Linked DNA regions of Drosophila melanogaster. Each later gene encodes a partner of the first gene's protein in a complex. Each region holds a gene or a part of one and is shown on either strand. Other genes may lie near its edges. A codon is read from its position in the direction of its gene.

The links. Proteins that work in one complex are often made in the same cells at the same time.
Region 2: the proteins of ND-23 (region 1) and ND-B17.2 are in contact, whole or in part, in a cryo-EM structure (PDB 8ESZ), measured with the Drosophila melanogaster proteins. Residues at the interface, in NP_524719.1 of Drosophila melanogaster: Glu85 (codon at 2,214), Pro86 (codon at 2,217), Ala87 (codon at 2,220), Thr88 (codon at 2,223), Ile89 (codon at 2,226), Asn90 (codon at 2,229), Pro92 (codon at 2,235), Phe93 (codon at 2,238), Glu94 (codon at 2,241), Lys95 (codon at 2,244), Gly96 (codon at 2,247), Pro97 (codon at 2,250), Leu98 (codon at 2,253), Ser99 (codon at 2,256), Pro100 (codon at 2,259), Phe102 (codon at 2,265), Arg110 (codon at 2,289), Tyr111 (codon at 2,292), Pro112 (codon at 2,295), Ser113 (codon at 2,298), Gly114 (codon at 2,301), Glu136 (codon at 2,367), Thr148 (codon at 2,403), Arg149 (codon at 2,406), Pro176 (codon at 2,555), Asn177 (codon at 2,558), Phe178 (codon at 2,561), Glu179 (codon at 2,564), Phe180 (codon at 2,567), Ser181 (codon at 2,570); in NP_001137770.1 of Drosophila melanogaster: Arg32, Asn33, Asp34, Asp35, Lys37, Phe58, Tyr59, Gly60, Arg61, Arg63, Trp64, Ile65, Phe67, Tyr75, Asp76, Gly77, Ser78, Ile80, Pro81, Ala82, Glu83, Tyr85, Gly86, Met88, His89, Tyr90, Lys91, Thr92, Cys101, Arg102.

What each region holds. Positions count from the first base shown.
Region 1 is NT_033777.3:15,835,492-15,838,807, reverse strand, and holds ND-23 (NADH dehydrogenase (ubiquinone) 23 kDa subunit), read left to right. Parts: upstream 1-1,690; 5' UTR 1,691-1,778; coding exon 1,779-1,818; intron 1,819-2,001; coding exon 2,002-2,453; exon of another isoform or gene 2,454-2,521; coding exon 2,522-2,683; 3' UTR 2,684-2,760; downstream 2,761-3,316. Other genes in the region: Pbp45 (PSEA-binding protein 45kD), read left to right, coding at 1-487; spn-E (spindle E), read right to left, coding at 828-1,070, 1,128-1,325; Arpc3A (Actin-related protein 2/3 complex, subunit 3A), read right to left, coding at 3,258-3,316. UniProt on the Drosophila melanogaster protein: Core subunit of the mitochondrial membrane respiratory chain NADH dehydrogenase (Complex I) that is believed to belong to the minimal assembly required for catalysis. Complex I functions in the transfer of electrons from NADH to the respiratory chain.
Region 2 is NT_033779.5:2,578,696-2,582,073, reverse strand, and holds ND-B17.2 (NADH dehydrogenase (ubiquinone) B17.2 subunit), read left to right. Parts: upstream 1-1,901; 5' UTR 1,902-1,934; intron 1,935-2,003; 5' UTR 2,004-2,119; coding exon 2,120-2,214; intron 2,215-2,277; coding exon 2,278-2,455; intron 2,456-2,506; coding exon 2,507-2,591; intron 2,592-2,647; coding exon 2,648-2,718; 3' UTR 2,719-2,817; downstream 2,818-3,378. Other genes in the region: Drp1 (dynamin related protein 1), read left to right, coding at 1-176, 236-292; Arpc5 (Actin-related protein 2/3 complex, subunit 5), read right to left, coding at 1,188-1,430, 1,493-1,705; Elba2 (early boundary activity 2), read right to left, coding at 3,066-3,378.

The DNA of each region.
Region 1 (3,316 bases):
TCTGCGAGCACTGGACCAGGCAAGCCAGCCATTGTGTGAACTGGAAGCGGCATACAATGCCCAAAAGAAGCAATTGGCGGCTGGTCATGAGCACGCTTTGCCGCCCTCTCAAATATTCGGCCATTTGCGAGAAGTCTTTGCCGATATCCAAAGTGTTCTAGGAGCTAGAAAGAGTACTCCAGATGAGAATTGTACCACAACATCTACAGGCAACCAGTTGGAAGTGCGCCAGAGGGTGCGGAACAAGGCCATGTACGGCGTCGAGGAACGGGAGCCGCAAAACCAGGCGGATGAACTAGAAGTGCAGCTGGAGGTCAACGAGACTTATCAACGCCGCATGTCCTCGGCCACCGTTTTTCAGAGGGAACTTCCAGCAGACGTGCAGCAAGAGTATGAGATGATTGAGTTTAGTGACGACGAGGAAATGGAAGTGGGTGAAAGCGAGGAGGTCACGGAAGAAGAACTCAAAGCTATTTTGGATACTTGAGTTAGTTTATAAAACTTTTACATAATTAAATAACTAGCATTTTTGCGCGATGTGATCTTGTTTATCTGTTGCACATAAAATATTCATTGTATTTAAGTATGTAGGATAGGATATATAACTATATAGGATATAAGTTTCCTAGGCTTTGCTATTCTTATATAAAGAGTTGAAAAGTATATTGAAGATTATTATTTATTATATAATATTAAATACTCTCGACTAGTTTGGATTTGAATTTCAAAAGTCGAGGATAAAAGGTTTAATTATAATTCGCTTGCGTTGGCTTTATTAAAATATAGACTTAATAAAAAAGTTAGGATTTTATTTAAGTTTTGCTCACCTGCGTGGTCTTGCCACATCCTGTTTCGCCCTTAATAATGACTACCGGATGAGCATTGATGGCCGCCAATATTTCCTCGCGCTTGGCGTAGATGGACAAGTTCTTGTCGCGATTCAGATTGAATCTGAACTTCTTGTAGTACTCGTCATCCCGGCGAATTTCGGTCTCTTCCCCCTCATCGTCGGTGTCCAAATCGTCCAGCGTTCGAATGCGTTTGCCTTGAGGCTGTTCGTTGAGCAGCGTCTGGATCGAATTACACATAAACAAACAGAAGTGCTGACGCAAGCTTCCAGTTCTCACCCCGTTCAGGAGACACTTTTCCTTGGCGACGATTTTGCTGACATAGTCGGTGCCGATCAACTCGCGGTTGGGCACTTCGGATGATTTGAACTTCGTGGCCATTAGCCTCGGATCGCTGCTGATGTAGCCTTGCGGGGCGGCGGCCACGCGCTTCAACTCCTTCGAGAAGTCAAAGAAATCCATAACCTCCTGATCCATTTTCCGACATAAACAATGAAAAATTTCACAATTCCGCGTAGCGGGAAAAGTTAAACTGTAAATTGTAGTGGTGGGGATTTTCAAAGTCAATGTTGAAAAGTGTAAAAGTGCGAATTTATATCGATAGTGCCATTATCGAAGCTTTAAGGTTTTTATTAGGGGTATTCGTATAAAAAAAATGTTTTCTTTTTTTTCTCACAGTCTTTCTGGATTATTTGTTAATATTATTTATTATTTTTACACGAATATTTAATTCTTTGTTACATTATTTATATTTTATATCTCATATTTTATTTTTGGTTTATGTCATTAAGAAACTACGATATATTTGAATACGATATTTGAGCATTGAATTTATGTGGGTAATCGAAAGAAACCCAGCTCTAATTTGTTCGGGCAAATTCAATAGCAAAACAACTTCTTTGGCAATTTTAGTTTAATTTGGTCGCAAAAATGTCGCTAACTATGCGAATTTTCACCGCATCGCGCAACGGTAGGTGGCGACCCATCCCCTCACATCCGTTGTTTTCCGGGAAATTTCCCATTTTCGTGGAAATCGCGGCGAGTGAGGTTATGTAAGCTTATGTCATACCAAAACAAAAGTCTAAACTCGCTTAATTCAGTATAACTTTTCGACTTAAGCATGTTATTTAATGGTAAAATGTTCTCCCCACAGGACAGCGCCTGTTTGGCAGCCATGGAGCCCGGCTGCTGGCCGCCCAGCGAGCAGAACCCAAAGATATCGTCGAGGTTCCCAAGGGCTATGTGTATGTAAACAACAAGGAACTGAGCATGGAGTTTGCCGACATCACGGACCGTGCTGCATCCACCATGTTCTTCGGTGAACTCTTACGTGGATTTGCCGTCACCCTGGCGCACATCTTCAAGGAACCGGCCACTATCAACTATCCCTTTGAAAAGGGACCACTGAGCCCGCGATTCCGCGGAGAACATGCCCTTCGTCGTTATCCCAGTGGAGAGGAGCGCTGCATCGCTTGCAAGCTATGCGAGGCTATTTGCCCCGCACAGGCGATCACCATCGAAGCGGAGGAGCGCGCGGATGGCAGCAGACGTACCACACGCTACGATATCGACATGACCAAGTGCATCTACTGCGGATTCTGTCAGGTGAGGAGGAGCAAAGTGGCGCCACAATTTACTAGAAACTAATTGCATCTTTTTGTCCCCCCGCGTAGGAAGCCTGTCCCGTGGACGCCATCGTCGAGGGACCCAACTTCGAGTTCTCCACGGAGACGCACGAGGAGCTGCTGTACAACAAGGAGAAGCTTCTCTGCAACGGCGACAAGTGGGAGTCCGAGATTGCCTCTAACTTGCAGGCCGACCATCTCTATCGTTAAAGTTGCTTGTACCCCTAGAATTCCTTGTTTAGAACGATTTTCCAATTAAAGATCGTTGCTGTGGCTTCGTCTTAAGCGAAAGTCAGTTGTATTTTTTTTAATTACTCAACTGGCCTAATAAATATAAATTATTTATATTCAAAGAGTTCCACGTTGTATTCGACAGATGACAAAGTTTATTTAATTAACAGGCCAATAGAAAGCATTTTTTCCAATGACGGAGCGACTACAAATAAATGAAACTTAGTTAATACTTTACTATTCCGATTTTGATTACACAAATTATAGGCAATAACTTCCATTTGCTGGTCAGTTATTAGAAACAGATATTATTTATGAAAGTTACTTGCAGTTTTATCCACGTTAATTTTGTAAAAAGAATTTACATAAATTAATTAAAACAGAAAGGCTTACAAATTCAAATAATTTATTTAGTGGTTAATGAATTTAATTAATTGTGACACGTTGGCAGTGATACTGCAAATTAGGACCACGCTGCGAGTAAAACTTAATTGAAGGGTATTTTTACCCGTCGTAGAAGCAAAACAAGATACCAGATATTGTGGATAGCTGTTTATTGTCCAGGTCCAGCCAGACTCTTCTCCATGAACTTTTTCTTCGCGAAGCAGGTCC
Region 2 (3,378 bases), on another chromosome or scaffold:
AATCCATACAAGACTCGGTTCCAAAGGCCATCATGCATTTCTTGGTTAACTACGTTAAGGACAACTTGCAGAGCGAATTGGTTACACATCTGTATAAGTCGGATAAGGCTGAAACCCTGCTCAACGAGTCCGATCACATTGCAGTGCGCCGAAAAGAGGCGGCAGATATGCTGAAGGTGCGCTTGGCTAGCTTATACTTAGCTTGACATCGTTTTAAACTTACTTTTGATTTCAGGCACTGACGCGAGCGAATCACATCATCAGCGAAATCCGCGAGACCCACATGTGGTAGGCTGGTCAGCGATTGGAGCAACCCGTTTCGACTTAATAATCCCCGCATATAAGCAACATAAAAACTATTTATTGAAGACGCGTTCAAAGAGAACGAACTCCTTTGTTAAATGTTCCCCCTACCGAGCACTGAAATATCATCAAATTGCATGCGACCCCCAAATTCTGGGCCTTTCATTTAGCCAACTCGCATTTCTATTCGCCTGGCATTTGTCTATCATCGAGCCTCTCCGCTTTTTAAATTAATAAGAAGTTGTAGACGCCGTGATTGGTTTGATTAGGTTACTCAAAGCACTTATTACACATTGAATAGTCAAATAAAGCAGAAAAGGTTGATTCAAACATAGTAGATGTGTTTTCTGTCACGGCAGCTAAAAGTTTACGAAGGCAACGTCATCATGTTGAATGATACACCTGGAATTTCGATTAGATAAGCCATTATGTTCGTAAAGTTGCTAGGCTCAGTCTGAAGATTAATAAGTGTTTAAATCTGATAGGAGTTGAATCTTCCTGAGTTTTGAGATGCGTAGCAATTGCTTAGCCTTACTAAAAACAAAATTTTTCTTACAAATTATGTTACATGTAGGTGTGGCTTGAGTGAACTAGAAGTACGTTCGTTCCCCTGATTGAAATCACTGCCACTCACCTTTCGTAATAAAAACTTTAATACTTGGATACCAGTTAAAATCTAATTTGGAAAACGTCATTTGTATTGCGGCGAAGAAACAGAAGTGGGTTCCAGCTGGGGCGTGGCAAATCCCGAAGATAAGGATGTGGTGTCCAGTGCTCCAATCCTGTGTTGATTAAATGCTCCGCGATGCGTATGAATCGGTTTATGGGGCAGGGAACAGTTGGGGTAGTGACTCTATGACCGCCTTTGGCTGTGCTGATCTCCTCTAGGCGCGATTTGTGTCGGACAGCACGCGGACAATGCAGCCCACTCCTCCCTTGGCGAAGGCCTTCTCATGCCACTGCAGCAGGTGGCCACTGGAGCCCTCCGAGGGGATCTCGAATCCCCGATATATGTACTTCATCAGCACGTCTATTAGGTCGTTCTGGTCCAAGGTGTCGATGGCCTGGTCCATTTGCGTCGACTTGATGGACAGCAGCACCCGCAGCGTGATGTTCAGGGCGTGGTCCTGCAATGCAAGGAAGGATTAGCTTTATAGGGTTCTCGATACGAATAGGTGTGGCTACCCACCTTCACATTCTGGTTCTTGCAGCGCAGCGGGGCATTCTGCAGCGCACTCAGGAGCGCCTCCACGGATTTTCCCTGCGTCAGCAGCGTCGTAATCTCGCTCTCATCCGGACCGGCTGCCGCGCTCTCCACCCCATCATCCTCCCGGAAGTTGTCCTCATTGTACTGGTCCACATCGATCTTGCGGAACGCGTTGCTGGACGTGTTTTTGGCCATGTTTTCGCTAAATTCCCACCACTTTTCTCTACAAAAATATGAATCACAAAATCCGGCAAGGCAAAACAGATGAGTGGCAGTGTGGCCGAACCTCAGAAAATACTAGCTGCAGTATTATTACCAAAGCGCCAATAATGCACAGGATACATCCAAGCAACAAAAAACATGAGTTTCACAATCACTTATCTCAGCAAATGAAAGTCTAATGAGCTTTAAAAATATTTTGAGAGTAGGTTTCGACCAATCTTGTTCCATTTTTACTTCAAAGAATATGATTGATATGATTCAGTATTTCTAGCTGGTGCTTTTGACCTCTCCTGGCCACACTGCAGATTGACTTTGTTTTTGTTTCAAGTGAGTCCAAGAAAATCGAAATTATTTACGTTTAATATATTTCTGGGTTTTCCCGGCAGCATGGCAAAGTTTTTGGGCATCAACCGGCTGACAAAGCTGTTCCAGATGGTCCGCGAAGCCGGAGGACTGAAGCAAGCGTACCTGAAGCTCTATAGGTGAGTCTCGATCTTATATAAGATTGCTCCAATCCTGAAAACCGCATATGCGCTATTTTCCAGGAACGATGATCTGAAGATCGGAACCCTGGTGGGCATCGACAAGTACGGCAACAAGTACTTCGAGAACCCGTACTACTTCTACGGCCGCAATCGCTGGATCGAGTTCGCCCCCCACGTCAACATGGACTACGATGGATCCATGATTCCCGCCGAGTGGTACGGCTGGATGCACTACAAGGTGGGTTTAGACTACATCTTGTCGCACATGTTATTACCTTTTTCCTTATAGACCGATCTGCCTCCCATTCGCGATGGATGCCGCCCCAAGTACAAGTGGATAGCGGACCACAGCGAGAATCTTTCCGGAACTAAGGGTAACTATGCACTATTCCCATTAAGTAAGCCCCCTAATTCAATCCTGCTCTTGCAGAGGCCTACTACCCCTACTCCACAACACCCAACAAAGTGGAGGCCTGGGAACCCAAGGCGAAGAAGCAGTAGTGTGGCATAGCTTATAATTATTTTTAAATTCAAGTGCAAATGGCTGCGATTGATGAGAACACCCGATCGAGTTAATAAACCCAATTTTGTTGACTCTGCACTCGAAGAACAATTTTAGCAATGGACAGAAAAGTGAAGTAACTCTGCCTATTCCCATATTATTCAGGTTTTGAATTGGTTTCATCTTGTCTTTATTCAATCACAGCTAGATTATATAACTTTACTTTTACTTTTAGCAGGACCTACTACGAATATATACAATGTCTTTCTGCGCCTTTCGTGGCGCGTCGTTGAGAAGAGCTTGATCATAGCTGGATTATATCTAGCCAATAGTTGTCCACTCCATGCTAATACTCCTCCTTGATGGCGACCTTCTGGGCCTTCTTGGCCCGCCTCTTGTACTTCTTGGCGGTATCCGCACACTTGGTAGTGATGGTGGCCCGAATCACCCGTTCCTTGCCGCCCGTCCGGTTTCTCACACAGACCACGATGTCGTCCACCTTGCGTTGGTCTAACTGGAGCTTTGGGGGTCTTTCGCGGCCGTAGAATGCGGGCGACGGCTTCCCGGTCAGCGTGTGGGTAGCCAACTCATCGCTGCTGAAGACAACGCAAAGAAGACACCTCGTGGCCACCGGGGCGTTGGTCCAGAAGACCTCACCG